2 linked regions of the Caenorhabditis elegans genome follow. The protein of the gene in region 2 interacts with the protein of the main gene of each other region in a pairwise test. Each region holds a gene or a part of one and is shown on either strand. Other genes may lie near its edges.

Evidence for each region. The genes of interacting proteins can lie anywhere in the genome.
Region 1: the proteins of die-1 (region 2) and dcp-66 interact in a two-hybrid assay, tested with the Caenorhabditis elegans proteins (one large-scale study listed by BioGRID).

What each region holds. Positions count from the first base shown.
Region 1 is NC_003279.8:7,536,154-7,544,131, reverse strand, and holds the start of dcp-66 (Transcription factor dcp-66), read left to right. Parts: upstream 1-1,972; 5' UTR 1,973-2,120; coding exon 2,121-2,129; intron 2,130-2,484; coding exon 2,485-3,153; intron 3,154-3,474; coding exon 3,475-4,097; intron 4,098-4,630; coding exon 4,631-4,829; intron 4,830-4,872; coding exon 4,873-4,957; intron 4,958-5,546; coding exon 5,547-5,668; intron 5,669-5,964; coding exon 5,965-6,099; intron 6,100-6,143; coding exon 6,144-6,360; intron 6,361-6,523; coding exon 6,524-6,639; 3' UTR 6,640-7,978. UniProt on the Caenorhabditis elegans protein: Transcription factor which binds to the 5'-CCATACATTA-3' motif found in the promoter region of pgp-12 and activates its expression in the excretory cell.
Region 2 is NC_003280.10:10,061,910-10,069,718, reverse strand, and holds the start of die-1 (C2H2-type domain-containing protein), read left to right. Parts: upstream 1-1,801; coding exon 1,802-1,852; intron 1,853-2,552; exon of another isoform or gene 2,553-2,573; intron 2,574-3,735; exon of another isoform or gene 3,736-3,888; intron 3,889-5,216; coding exon 5,217-5,567; intron 5,568-5,913; coding exon 5,914-6,402; intron 6,403-6,466; coding exon 6,467-7,300; intron 7,301-7,346; coding exon 7,347-7,455; intron 7,456-7,507; coding exon 7,508-7,614; 3' UTR 7,615-7,809.

The DNA of each region.
Region 1 (7,978 bases), on a different chromosome or scaffold from region 2:
CATACTGATAGGTTGCCATCAACTCTAGATGGACGCATAGATCCTAGCGTAATTTTGAGGTTATTCTATTCTTTTTAGAAGACAATTTCGGTTGTGATGATCTCAAAGTAGCGGTGTCCTGGTTTAGAAATTTACCTTCCGATGATCCGATAATCAGTAGTAGTCATCGCACCTAGCTCTATTTTTTGGAAACTAAAAGTTTTGTTAGAGACTGTATATGTAGGAACACTGTTTTGTTAGATTTTTAGTCTTTCTGAACGCGAAACATAGAGTTTCGAACCTAGAAGTGTTCAATCAACACCGAATTTAGATTCAGCTCCCGACGTGGGGAGAGTGGTTGCGATGTTGGCAGAGCAAGTAGGACATGATGATTAGACGTTTGAGCATATTCAGTTGGACAGCTGCTGCCGTCTTGGCACCACCTATATTGAATCCCAGTTGGGGTCAGGTTCGGGCCGTGTGAGATGGAAAGAGAGAGAGAAAGTAGGGAGAGAGTGAGTGTGTGCGTTTTGTGTGTGTGAGGGTGTGTGTGTGTGTGTGTGGCCGAGTGTCATTGTTCGAGTAGAATGAAGCGAAACAAGAAATAATCGATTGACTTATGTGTCCTCCTCCGCCTTCCTTCATCTTCTTCGTCCGTCCGTCCCCGTCCGTCCACGCACCCTCAGCCGCTCCTAGTGGTTTTCAATCTTCATCCTAGTCTTCATCAGCATCATCGTCGCCGTCATCTCAATTTGTTTCTCACGCGCTTAATGTTTGTATTTGTGAATGTGCCAAGTACTACCACCGTACTTGTCGGTGCAAGACACCACCATTTTAGTGTGTTCTAGAACATTTTGTAAGAGAAAAGAAGTCCACAGCTCTTCCAAATCTATTCCAAATATATTACTTTCAGGACTGAATTTTCGCTAACATGGTTTTTGGTGGATTACCGTTTCATGAATTCCAGACTATCCTAGGTTAAATTTACGGAGACTTCACCTAGTTGCGTATCTCCAACCTAATTATGATCCTTGAACCAATAATTTTGTATTGTTTCTCTAGCCTGCAGTACAAAATTAGTTAAACCTCATAGTTTCGAAATTGGTATTTTCACAAAATTCGCCACATTGTATTTTTCTTTAACTATAAAAATTCTACGATATTACCATCTGCATTGCACACAAAAAACATTCTTTTCCAATACTGTGACTTTAAAGGGGGTGACCATTTATTCGAAATGGTCCCGCCACGCGCTCTAGCGTGGCGAGACCATTTCACAAAAATGCGCTCTCCTTTAAAGTCGCAGAAGTGTAGAAATTTTTTTAAATTTTTTTTCGAAAAAAAAACACTGTTTGTGTCGTTTCTTGTTGACCTCTGCTTCACTAAACGATTTTTGAATAAAGATTTGTTCTTTAGTAGATTCTGACCACAAAGAACCCAGAAACCTGTGAATATTTCCAAATATCAGTATCTCAAAATTGCTCTAATCTTAAATTGTTTTGTATGGAGTTTCGCGAATCTTTCCAGTACGGCCTAAGCAAAACTAGCAAAACTAGAAAAAGAGTTCAACTCTCCACCACGGGAAATATGAATAACTCTTGGAAAAATTGACACGAAAGTAGTGTGGTAAAGTAAAGTAGAAAGTAGAAAGTAGGTGGCTTTTGATGAGTTGTAGATGATCACGTTCATCAAACATTTCAAAAGAAAAAAAAACTTAATTTTTCCCATGATCATCTCAACCTCCTTCCCTTTTTTTCCCTAATAACATTTTGCTTTTTTCTCTCACTATCTGCGTATCTTCTTTCTATCATCATTCCCCATTTTCTCTGCGCTCTCTTCTCTCTCTTATTGCTTTTATATTGGGTGAAATGATGTGACGTCACACGGACACCACCTCGTTTTGGATATTCAAATCTTTTGTTTTACTAATCTGCGTCTCTTTCTTACACTACACTATAAGTGCCGGTGACATTATAATTTCAACTTTTATTCCAGAACAAACTCAACACTAACTGATTGCTGTTGTTCTCTTGGACTCCAATGCAAGCTCTCGACGAACGGTGTTAATCGATTTTTATTTTGCTCCGCTCCACTTGAGTTTTGACTGGATTCCATTTATTTAGTATTTATATACAATAAATATGGCACAGGTAGGTGTTTCTATTTACAGTTATATTAAACGAACTCAAAAAATATTTCGTGTTTGGAATATTCAAATTTAATATTTATTATGTCAAGTAATTTTCATTAAAAATGGGGTAGCGAGTTCGATCAATCTAAATACTAAAATTAAAACTTACTGAATTCCGAATTCAGTTCACAAAAAATAACAAATTTTGGAGAAGACTGAAGGTTTACCCTAATAAATGAGAAAATAAGCATTTTCAGTCTATTTTTGGACAGTTTTAGTGTAATTTTAAAATTTTTGCTACCTCAAATTTAGTTGAAAATTAGAATCTTAATTGAAAAAATTCGAATAACTTTTTAAACCCAATGTTTTTAAAGGTTCAACAAGTTCCATCGTCACCTATGAATGGGATTCCTGAAAAGAATGGAAATGGTTTGAGTATCGAAGAATCAGCTTCAACAGCCGTCGCTGCACTTGCACATATTCAAAATGGAGCTGTTCTATTTCATGGAACACCTACAAAAGATTTGAATGGAGCTTCAACATCAATCGATACCGATGATTTACAACTTTCACCGAGTGATCTACGGCGGCGGAGTACACGAGCAAGTGCTCTGAAGGCTCAGGAAAAGATTAAACTGAAAGATGATATTGTACAAGGACCACAAAAACGGGCGAATGATGATGATGATATGGAAGATGAAGAGTTGGGAGATGAAATTAATGAGCAATCAGCTCCAAAAAAAAGAAGACTCGAAAATGGAAAAGAGTTTGATCAAACATGTTTCCGATTTGGACTTCGTGCGAATAATGAAGGTGAAGTATACGCAATGACTGATGAGAGTGAAAATTCTTCAATTCATGAAAGTGAAATGGAAGTTGTGAGGTATCATTATGAAAAAATGAAGAATAAGGAACCGGATGAGGAACAATTAAGAGAACGTTTAAATATGAGAAGAGAAGCTGAAAATCAGTTACGAGAAGAAGAGGCAAAATTGCTAGTTTTGAGAAAAATGAAGGATAGTCAGACAAGAGCTATCACCAAGGTTCGTTTTCTTCACTATTCGAGAAATAAAAACGCCAATTTTAGATAAAAGTGTAACTTCACAAATAGTTTAAAAAAATTTTCATCATAAAACTCGCAAAAATTCCGGATTTTTGCCCTGAGAGAATTGTAGTTAAATTTTCGGCGAGTTATGATCTGAGAATAGGAAATGCTTCAAGTTTTATGCTGATAAAATGTTTCATTCAAAAAACACACATTTTCAAAAAAACCGACAAAAGTGAAGGAAACTCTTTGTGAAACTGAAATCTGTATGAAATAAAAATAAATGATCAAAACTTTTTTGTATTAATATTTTTTCCAGCTGGCCGCCGAAACTAAAGCTGCTGATCTTGCTGAAGCGACATCTGCAGCATATAAACCAGCGGTTGCTACAAATGGAAAATCTGTTACTAATGGAAAGAATTCGATGATTGAGTCAAATAACAAAACAATGAATGGACTTAAGAATCTTTCAATTCCACAACAACTCGAATTACTTCAAAAACTATCATCTCAATCACCAGCTGCCAAACAAGCATACATTATGGCAAAGAAGAATCCAGCACAAACGACTCAACTATTCCAACAACTGATTACAATCAATAATCAAAATCTTCAAAAGCAAAAAGAGCTTTCTGCTGCTGAAACAAATGCTTCTGCATCTGCATCACCTGCAGTACAACAATCTCAACAAGCACAGCAACCACAACAGGCTCAAATCACACAATCAAAACTTCTAAATCAACAGACACCTGCACAAAGGATACAAGCAGCTCGGCTGGCTTTCAGAGCTCAAGCTGATAAGCAATTGACAACAATTCCAACACAAAAAAGTCAACCTCATGATATCACTTTCCTACCGAATCCGAATGCTTCTGCATTCCTGGCATTGCATGGATTGGATCTAGTGGTTCAGCATGTTCTCAAAGATAGATCTAATGAGACGTGAGTTTTTTTTCAAACTATGATTTGTTAAAACACATTGTGATCACGGGTGTCGTCGAAAAAATGTGGAGACTTTTTCAGAAATATTCGGAAAAATTGTTGAGAAAATTAACAGACAATTTCAACAATTTGTTTATTTTGATTTACTTTTTTATAAAACAGGAAAAATTACCAACGTTTGAAAATTTTTAGATTTTTGGTTTTGATCAAAAGCGAAAAACGAACGCTTTACGGTTTCAGAAAAACTGAATATTTCAGAATCATTTCCGGAATTACTTTTTCTGTTCCGGCTCGTATCACATTTCATACAAACAGTCAAAATTTCAAAAATTGTTGAGTTTTAGGTTTTTGAGCCAAACTGAAAATCGAAACACGAACATTTATAGAGTTTTCGGTTTCCTGTAAACGAAAAAAAATCAGACCGGACTTTAATTTCTCAAAAAATGTTTGATAATTGCATTAGAAACTAAAAACCTCGAAAGTTTTAATGTTCAAAATTGAAATGTTTTCATTAAAAAAAAAATTATATTCAGACCATATGCCGGACCATCATACGAATGTGAAGAATGTAAAACCGAATGTGCTCACACTTGGAAAGCTATTGGAAGTACACAAGATGATCTTCATCTTTATTGTGAAAATTGTGTACGATCAGCACAAAAAAGGAAAAATCGAACAGATCAGACAGCTTTATTGAAGAGAGCTTTCCAGAAGATTACGGCACAAGAAAAGGTATTTATTTCGAAATTTAACTGATTATTAAACGAATTAAAAGTTATTACAGGAGTTCGAAAAGAAAATTGCCGAAGGACAATTGGAGCAGTACGCAGAAGCAAAAGCTGCAGCACCTGCTACATCTCGTTAGTTTTATTATTTGAAAGTTAAAATAGTAATATAAAAGTATAAAAATTGTGTCCGCTATCTGAAAAAAAAACTAAAATGATCTAAATCATATTAAAATTATGAAAAGAATTAGTTTTGAAAACTATAGATCTTTGCACTAACTACAAAAAATAGGGTTTTTGTATATCATAATTTAAAAAAAAACCAATTATATAATTTTAAATAAAATTTCCAAACAAATTTTTTCCGACAATTCTTCAATTTGAAAAATTTTAATACAAATATTTTCCTTTTTTTACAAATATTTTGCTAATCTATAGTTTTTTCTTCTTTCAAAAAAATTTCGTCATTTTTTCCCGATTTTTCGACTTTCAAAAACGCAATATTTCTGTTTTTCGGTTTTTAAAATTTTCTCTGAAAAACTCTAAAAAATCGAAATTTTTTAGACGACGATCGACGCCTAAAGTCATTGTCACATTAATAGTTGAACAGTTTAATTCCAAAAAGTTGGGACTAATACACACGTATTTTTAAAAATCGTTGTATTGCTGTTAAAAACTTTTTAAAAAAATTCAAATTCCCCGATGCGAATAAAATTAAATTCAGAAACAATACCAACATCATCAACAGCAACTGTTTCATCAATTCCACTTGTACCACGATTACCACAAATTCCATCATCAACTGGATCAAGTACACCAACACAAGCAGTCAAGACGTCAACACCGGTTAGATTTTTATTTTCAAACCAAATAATTCAAAATTGAGGAATATACCTGGGAAAATATTTTTTACAGTTAAAAAAGTTCAAAATACAACATTTCCAAAAAGACATATATTTTATGAGCTTTTTATTAAAAATTTATAACATTTCGCAATTTTCTAAATTCGTGTATAATTTTTTCATGCAAACAGAAGAAAATAGGCATTGAAGAAGCTTGATGTTACTTTAAAAAATTAGTATTTCTAGACATTTTAAGTAATATCAAAAGTTAGGAAAAAACAATTAATTTTGAATTTTCAGATACACTCGACACCAAAATCATCAAGTTCAAGTGCAAAGAAGACTGCAGCACAATTGCAACAACAAAGTATGCAAGGAATGAATCAATTATTCAGTACAGCAATGTTGAGAAATAATCCTCAAATGCAACAAATGGTATCACTTTTTTTTGAAATTTCAAAAAATAAATCCTTTTCCAGTTGCAAATGTACCAAGCTTTAGCTATGGGAGGAGGGGCGGCAAATATGGCAAATAATCAAATGGCCATGCTATTCCAAGCACAAGCAATGCAAGCTGCTCAGGCTCAAGTCGCACGAGCTCAGGCGGCAAAAGCTCAGGCTGCACAAGCTCAGGCCGCACAGGCTCAAGCCCAGGCACAGGCAAATAGAGAGGCGAATCAACAATCAATGCTAATTCGTAAGTGTTTTTTGGGCGATTTTGTGAAAGATTTAGAACATTAAAAATTGTTTATTACGAGATTAGAAAGAAAAAATTGTGATTTTCCATTGTTTTCTGGTTGGAATATTAACATTTCAATCTACAAAATTGATCGAAAAGAAATAAGTTTTAAACATTTCAGAAGCTCTCATGAGTAATGGTCAAGTGAATGTTCAAGCTCTCCAACAACTTCAAAAACTGACACCTGAACAACAGAAAGCGCTGATCGAAGTTGTCAAACGTCAAACGAGGAAGTGAAAATTTCAAACTTTTTTCGGTTTCTTCAATTGATATTTTATTTCTACTTTTCCTCTATCCACTACCGACAACATAACAAAACTTGTTTCTGATTGAAATCCGGGTTGTTTTTGTATGATTTTTTGTATTCAAATATGATTTCTCGGCATCTCTCTCCCTCTCTTTCTCCTACACTTTTTAAAAATTTCCTTTTTGCAAAATTCAGACGAAGTTTCGAGAAAATCTGAAAATCCACGTGCTTTTCCATCACGGTCATTCTCCATTTTCCTGTAATCATATTCCCATCGCTTTGATTATTTTTATTTCCACAATCGCCACCCCCACCCCCACTATTATCGATTAGTATCCCTAACTTGTAACTTCCAAAAAATTGACGGTTTGTACCAAATATGCTTCTTCTCTTATAGTCTTGATTTTGCTCACTTTTTTTGATATTTCAATTTCAGTGATGTTCAAAGTTCAGATTATATTTGAAGAAGTATACATCTTTAATTCCAAAATTAGAGGGTGTTGAGTTTTTTTTCTAAAACTATCGAACGGATGTGGTTTTATAATTTCTAAATTAAATAACTATTTCGCTTTCTTTTTCCCTTAATTTCCCCCTCTCTCGTTCATATTTAACTTATTCTTAAACCGTTTTTTCTTTTCCTCTATCCACTACCGACAACATAACAAAACTTGTTTCTGATTGAAATCCGGGTTGTTTTTGTATGATTTTTTGTATTCAAATATGATTTCTCGGCATCTCTCTCCCTCTCTTTCTCCTACACTTTTTAAAAATTTCCTTTTTGCAAAATTCAGACGAAGTTTCGAGAAAATCTGAAAATCCACGTGCTTTTCCATCACGGTCATTCTCCATTTTCCTGTAATCATATTCCCATCGCTTTGATTATTTTTATTTCCACAATCGCCACCCCCACCCCCACTATTATCGATTAGTATCCCTAACTTGTAACTTCCAAAAAATTGACGGTTTGTACCAAATATGCTTCTTCTCTTATAGTCTTGATTTTGCTCACTTTTTTTGATATTTCAATTTCAGTGATGTTCAAAGTTCAGATTATATTTGAAGAAGTATACATCTTTAATTCCAAAATTAGAGGGTGTTGAGTTTTTTTTCTAAAACTATCGAACGGATGTGGTTTTATAATTTCTAAATTAAATAACTATTTCGCTTTCTTTTTCCCTTAATTTCCCCCTCTCTCGTTCATATTTAACTTATTCTTAAACCGTTTTTCTCTCCTTTTTCTGAATGTTCTTAAGACTTAGCGTCGTCATCTATTCATGTGATTTTCTTCTGTTTTATGAAAATTGCCCTTCTCTCGTGCAAAACGTTCCA
Region 2 (7,809 bases):
ATGTCCACCACCCGCCGCCACCCGCCAACACTAAATTTTTTTATGTGTGCAAGGCGAAATACGAATTTCATGTCAGACTCACTCATAGCCCCGCGGTGTCACTTGATTTGAATTACTTTTCGAATTAGTGGAGAAATAAGTGAGAGACTTGAATTCGTTAAGGGTGGGGCTTGAAATCGAATCGAATTGCTCCGATAGACCGCATGACAACCAGTTTTCAACACCACTTCACTTTTTTGCCCCGGATGTGGAACATTGATGTTAAGATACTTTTCCTGATTTACTTCCTTTTTAGGGTCGGAGTTGCAGATTTTGAGCTGAATACTCTGAAAGCGGGGTACCCAAAAACCAACAAAGTTTTCATACCTGCAAGCATACCTGACTTTACGCCTGCAAGGCACACTGGCAGGCATCATTATGTCTTACTTCATGAAATACTTTTTTAGAGATCCACCAACAACTTAGAAAAAATCCTTGTAATTCTAGACTAGTAGTGTAGTCGGGTAATTTTACAAATTACCCGACTACACTACTTAGACTTGCATGTTTTTTTGGGTTCTCCAAAAACTACCCAACCGCCAACTTTTTTTTGATCTATTATAAATCTTCAACCTGAAACTGCAGGCAACTTCCCTTATGTATCACTTTTTCCTGCCGAATTTCAACATTTCTGACCTAATTTAAACTCGTTTTCATGTTTCTCTCTCTTTTTTATTATGTCAAAACCTTGAAGTCGAAACTTCTAGATTTCAATTAGCTTTCATAACGATTTCAAAGCCCCAGACAACTTTCTGAACCTTGAAACTTAAAAATATATTATTTTAGGAGGCAGGTGAAGATTTTCATATATTGTGAGAGATTAAACGTAAATGATAATTTTTGAATTAGTTCGTTTTAAGAAAATGACTCTGATTTCATATCAGTGTCATATAATTATAGAATTTCAAATTTTCATTTTGAAAGCTTCACATTAATAGTTGTTTACCCTATTTTTGATATTCCCCAGACATTCAATTCGTTGAAATATTAAAAAAAGAATCTTGTGAATTGTTATATACACCTGCCAATTTCACTCGCCCGCCATGCACCAGTGTGCTGAAATTGAAATTGAAATTGAAATTGAAATCGAAAAATATGGAAATTTTCCACTTTTTCCTGCTTCTCCCGCCGAAAGCTCAGACCAGACCTCGACGCAGAAAAAATTTCGTTTGATTTAATTTCGAAATCACTGGCGGAAATATAAATTGAAAAGCCAAAGGTGTTGGCAGTCGGCCAAACGCGATTAGGGGCCAGCCAAGAGAAGGGGGAGAAAGAGGTTGGAATTGAAATTAATATATATTATATTTATGTGCAAGTAGGCGCTGCCCCCCACCAATATGCACATGTTATTGAGATTTCGAAAATCAGTTAGTTAAAGCTTTAGGCACCAAGTTTTATTTTTTTTCAGTATTTCGCCTTTTTTTTCAGTCCTATATATTTTTCGGCCGCTGGAAACTGGAAAACAAGCGCTCGATTTCTGCAATACCTGTGTTTTGTGTTTTTCGGTTCTTTCTTAGTATTTCGAAAAAAAAATTAAATGAAACTACAATTGTGTTCATCTATCCATCCTTCTTCTTTTGGGAATTCTCATAGACACTTGGTTTATTTTTTACTTTTTTCATCAACAATTCGTATATATTATCATATTTAAAACCTGAGAAGATTTCAAAGTATCTATTAAATTTTTCTTGTTTTTCAGAAAACGCCAGTTGATTCGACTTTTGGGAATTGTTCACAAATCGTTGAGAATCTTCATTCGGACATGATGGCCAACGCGGTCGATATGCAGCAGTTGCTTATGTCGATGGATCCGGTAAGAAACTTGGATTTTATGAATTTGCACTAGAGGAGCCATTTTTAGTCAACTTCTAAAATTAGAAGCGGAAAAAGTTTGCAAATTTCTACCTTTTGGTTTAAAAAATTTTTGCAAATTTTTGGGGGCCATAGTTTTGAATGTTTTTAAGCCTGCTTATATACATTTTGAGCCTGTATTGCCAAGACTTTGGTCATTTTGAACAATACAGTAGCCATTTGTAGGTCTACTTTTTTCAAGTTTTTCGGCTTTGATATTACCTAGCTCCAAAAATTTGTTATATATATTTTTGAATATTATCTTATTTATTTTAAAATATTTTCTATCGCCACTTATATTTTCAAACTTCTAAGACTTGGCCCTCTTTAAGCTTCTGATTTGTGTCTATAATTTTTCTAGTATTTTTTTCAGTTTTTCTTTAGAAATTAAAAGAATTTGTCTAACATGCGATTTGAATTCTTAAAAAAGAAGAATTTACGATAATCCATCCCGTTGTCTACTATTTATGCAAAATAATCAGCTTATTGCCCCTTTAGCCAAATCTAAATTTAGATAAAATCACAAGACTCGATCTGAAATTTTCTATTTGTTATCCCACTATGTTCTAGTAGATATTGTGTAAAGTTCCATTTTGGGAACATATTTTGGTTCTAGAAATTTTTTTTGATCTACCTTTGGGGTCTCTATTTTTGTCAATACTATTTTATCACTCAGTCTCAGATCAAAAGGATATGTCAAAAATGAATATTATAAAATTTTTGAAACTGTTTGTTTTTGTGTTGGGCTCACCATTAATTTATTATTAACCTTTAAGATGTTTAATTTTTAATTTTCAAAAATTGTGCGTACTACTGTATCTAACCAATATTGATTTACCACTTCCCTTTGTCACTCCACCGCTAATCCACTTGGCAATGAGCCAACAAATCTTTGAATTCCCATATTCAAATGACGAAGATGAACATCTGCTCAAATTCTAGTAAATTTGGAATTTGGGAAAAACCATCTAGCCCGTTGCGCAAATATGAAACAGATTCCAATGTCAGATGTGAAGGGTTAATTGATCGTAAAAGTGTTGTGTGGGAAGAAAGAAGAGTTTGGACCATCCGAAATAAATATGATGTAGTGGTGGTCAAGGGCGTTGATGAATTTCCATAGATAAGGTTCACATTGTTTTTTTGATGGAATTTTAGGATTGGCCTTGGATTTTGACATTTTTGTATCTCCGTTCCTTGGAAGTTTCTTTTCAAGCACTAGTTGGAGTTCTCATGTGCTTTGAATGAATCACTTGGAACTGAAACTTTGTAGAAATGAACTTGAATTCAAGATTCAAGCATGACTATTCTAGATTGACTTTATTCATTAAATTTCCTCCCGGTGAGCTCCTTCGAGTTCACACACGCCTTGCGAATAATTCATCACGGTTTCATAAAAGTTGAATAATCTTGTGGTGCTGGAGAAGTATCTCCCTCTACCCGGCTTCTGAGCTCTTTCCGTCTCCTTTTCAATTGAAAATAGAAAAGAGTGGAAAATTTTAGTAAAAATACGGAAGGTTGTCTATGTGACAAGGTCCCTTTTCTTGCCGATGGATATTTGAAACGAAAATCGCAGGAAACGATTACTCGATTAAAGTGAGACACTAGGAGACACTGCCTGGAGCCTCTTTTCGGGTGAAATTTGAATATGCTCCGCCTACTTGTTTGGGTTTTTGAGAATTCCGAGATTTTGAAGAAAGTTTTCAGTGTTTTTCAATTTATCTAATAGATTCAAAAGTGCTAACACGATTATAAGTACCAAGAAAAGCTCGGAGATCCATATTTCTCTTGACTAAAAAAGTTAAGGCGATTTCGTGTTCATACAATAATGCGTGTAGTTTCGATTTTGTTGTTCTTGAGAGTTTGAAAGTTATTTTAAGAAAATTTGAAGTTAAGGTATTTCAAAAAAGGTTCAAACAAGAAACTAGATCAAATCTTCGTTCATTTGACCCCTTTTCTTTACTCTTTGTCCACTCAATTTTTGTTTAGTTAGCCTTTTGACGCGTTCGGAGGGACCATTCAGACATCCCTCCCGGGAAGCCCCACCCTTTTCCCATTCTGTGTCTCCTCGAAACGTGTACTCTCTAGAAGTTATAAGTCCACTCTAAATACAGGGTTGTCTCCTCTTCTTCTCCTTCGTTTTTTACGTCTATCTCGCATTAGACACACAGAGACGGGAGGAGGGTCTCCCGCAACGGGACCACTCATATTCTCCCTTTTTGGTTTTTTCGTGTCTGAGTCTCTTCCCCCGTTTTTAATTTTATTTGCCCCCCCCCCCGTTCTCCCCGCGACGTTGCATTGAATTTATTGTTGAAGAGACATGGAACGGGTCAGTTGACCGACAGACGGTCCCATCAATTGTTCTTCATTTTTTCCCCTGTTCTCTTTCGATATAGTTTTATGATAGTTGAGAAGGTCCTAGGTACTGCGCAATAGTTTTTGGAACTGATAAACTGTGTTTCAAATATAACTACTGATAAGATACCTAGTCTTTTAGATCTAGAAATCGGTTCCCCAAATATTTAGTTCCATTAGAAATTTGGCAAACTTTTCTTAGATAATTCGAGATTTTGAAAATTGGTCAATTGACATTTCAATGAGCATGGTCCAAATTACCCCCTTATTTTTCTACGATGCTTGTAATCTCGTGTGAAATCTCACCTCATTAGACAATAGTCTATCCCTTCTCCCTTCACTACAGTACTCCTCCTTCCAATCTAATCCATAATTCTATTGTCTTTCAAATGACCCCTTACTCCTTCTTTTCTTTTTCATATCTGAAATCTTTTGTCAAATAACACTTTTTGATGGATCTAGTTGTCTTCTCCCTACATGTAAACTTTAACGTAAAAGAGCACAGAACATTGCTCTTGTTCCAAGACGGATGATCCCTCCACCTTCGCAGAATTAAATTTCAAAATATGTATAAATCCAAAAAAAAAATATATTAAAAACTTCCAGTAGATTTTCTTCATCTTTTTCCCATTTGGAAATGGAGCACTTTTTTTCCTAATTTTTTGATCGAAATTTTTGGCAACATATTCAATCTAATTTCGGACTATGAGCGGGGTGTGGGAAAAAAGTCATGTGGAAGTTTGAGTTTTTTGCCTCAATTTTTCTCAAATTTTTCTCAATTCACCTCAGTTTGGCATACCTAATCCCTTTATATTGAAACCACTTTACTTTGATAACCAAACACACAATTTCAATTCAAGATTGCTTCTTTTAAGCTCCCACGATCTTTCGTCTTTATAATATTTTCAACATTTGTAAATTTTCGAGTGCAAATAGTCTGCATATTTTTCATATTTCATGTTTTTGTTTTTCAGTCAAGCGCCAACCAATTCAATATGATGAATAAAGGAGGTGCTTGTGTCATGGCTACTTCTGGAGGATCTGCGAGCCCAACTTCATCTTCCGGAGCTCCATCATCATCTTCCATCATGGCAGAGACCGATGAGAAGGATATGTTCATGCCGAGCCAACTTATTCAAAACGGCCTTGCCAACAATCAATTGATGTCGATGATTCTCCAGCAACAGAGCAATCAGGCTGACTCGAACATCGCCGACGCTGGACACAACAACTCCGGAGCCGAGAAGAATATTATCGAGCTGCTGATGAGTGGAAATGCAGATTTGATGAAGTTCGCAACACAATTTGCTCAACAAGCTAAATCGGTAAGTTGTCAGCCAGACTTCATGCAAACAGATTAGCACCTAGATTTTTCAAATCTTGTACCAAGATTTAGACTTGAGAGAGTATTTGCAGATTTGAGTGGGCACCAATTTTAGAATTCTCTATTTCGTTTATTATCCAACGTTTTTTTCTTTATTTTGGATCCCATCTTTTCAAAAAGCTATAAATAGTAGAGGTGGAAGCCAATCTATTTATTAAATTATTCCTAAACGGATCTTGACAGATAATGCTGGATTTCGCTTGTTATCGTTATCAAAATTCGAAAATAGTTGTAATTTTTAAATTCCCCATTTGAATTTGCCACTTGAAGAAATAAGCCAATTTCAGGTTGATCAGGAGCCAGAAGAACAACGAGAATCCTCTCCAAGCCCACCACCAGCTGTTTCTCTGAACTCAACACTGGCATCCATGGTATTTCCGACCACCTCAACAGCTACGGAATGTAGTGCTGCTAGCACGACATCTTCAGTTGACTCAGCTCCATCTACAGTAATCGTCAATGGGCATTCGAATTCTCAATCAAATACAGATGATGATGATGTCACTCAGCAACCATCAGCCAAGAAACAGAGGACTGGAGATGAAACTCCATTGACACCAACTTCAAATAATCAACTCATGCAATCACTTCTCGCTCAAATGGGTCTTTCAAACCCGCTTCATCAGCAGAATCAGAAGCAGATGAAAGATGAATCTATGATGTTCAGTGGTCTCTTTCCACAAGGATTAGCTGGTATTCCACTGATGTTCCAGTCTCCTCTCCACCAACAATTTGCTGGAATGCAAGACTTTGAGCCATTGTCAGCTTTGTCCACAGTGAGTTTCAGTTTCTTTTCAATCGGTACATTGAAATTTCCTTTTTAAAATGCAAAATTTTCAGCCAAACAAGGGAAGTGGAGTCAAACGTCAATACTCTTCCAACAACAAAAACTTCTGTGATATTTGCAACAAGGAAGTTTGCAACAAGTACTTCCTCCGTACACATATGCTCAAAATGCACGGAATTGTGATTGATGAGAACAAGACAGTTATTGCAAATATCGACACAAGCATCAAGGAGCGAGAAGGAGAGCTTACTTTCCGATGTGACACTTGCCGAACTATGTTCAAAACTCGTAATCAGCTCAGGCAACATCGTCAGGATGTGCATGGAGTCTTGCCATTGTCAACTCCACGTAACAATCCAAACAAATCATCTGTTCCAACAACACCAAACGGAGCCAATAATAACTCTGGTCCGAATTCCGCCTCAATGTCTGAAGAAAAATGTGCATTGTGCGATAAAAGAGTTTCTCCATCAATGATGATGTTGCACATGGCTCAAGATCATTTTGGAGCTGCTGCAGCGAATGGAGATTTGAATCAAATGATGGCGATTCTCGGACAACGAAATCAATCAACTGAGGAAAAGATGAGCTCAAATCTTCTCGAATGTACTGACTGTAGTTACAAGACTCGTGATCCAAAGAATCTTGACTTGCACATGGAGAGGCATATCAAAATGAGTGAAGCGAAGGGAAGAGGCGATGAAGATGAGGATGTTGCTCTGCAGCTGACAACTGAAGCAGCTCTTCAAATGGTGGTTCAGAATCAGAATCAATATGACGGAGATTCAACGGCAGCCGCTCTCAATCTTACGTTCAAGAATGATGGAACAAAGAAAGAAATTGAAGAAGAGAAGGCAACTGGAAATCATGAGAGAAACTCTCATACGGTATGTTGACATATCTTATGATTTTAGCAACCATACTTTTTTTTAGAGTGGAAGCATTTCTCCCTCAGGATCAATTCCAGAAGGATTTGGAAAGAACATCGGAGAGAAGGCGTTCCCAACGCAGAGCTTTTTGATCAAGTGCAATGATGACAGTGGTAAGTTGACTTTTAAATTAGAGCTTTTCCTTACCAAATTTTCCATTTTCAGGTGAATTCCTCACCGAGTTCCTTGCTCAACTGCCTGTCCGATCAGTGATCGATGGACCACGTCAGCTGGTGTTCAACCTCCATCCAGCTCCACCGACTACCAGCTAGATTTGGTCCACTACCTCAAAAATGCTCTCCCACCATCATAGTATCTACCTTTTTTCTTCTCAATCTGTTGTATGGGTACCAAATGTTCCGGAACCAAATGAAAATCCCCGCCTTTCTCGTCTTTTGAAGTCCGTATCCTCCTTGTAATCTTCCACCACCACTCGCCCCAGTTCTTGATCTCCGTTACCGAATGTT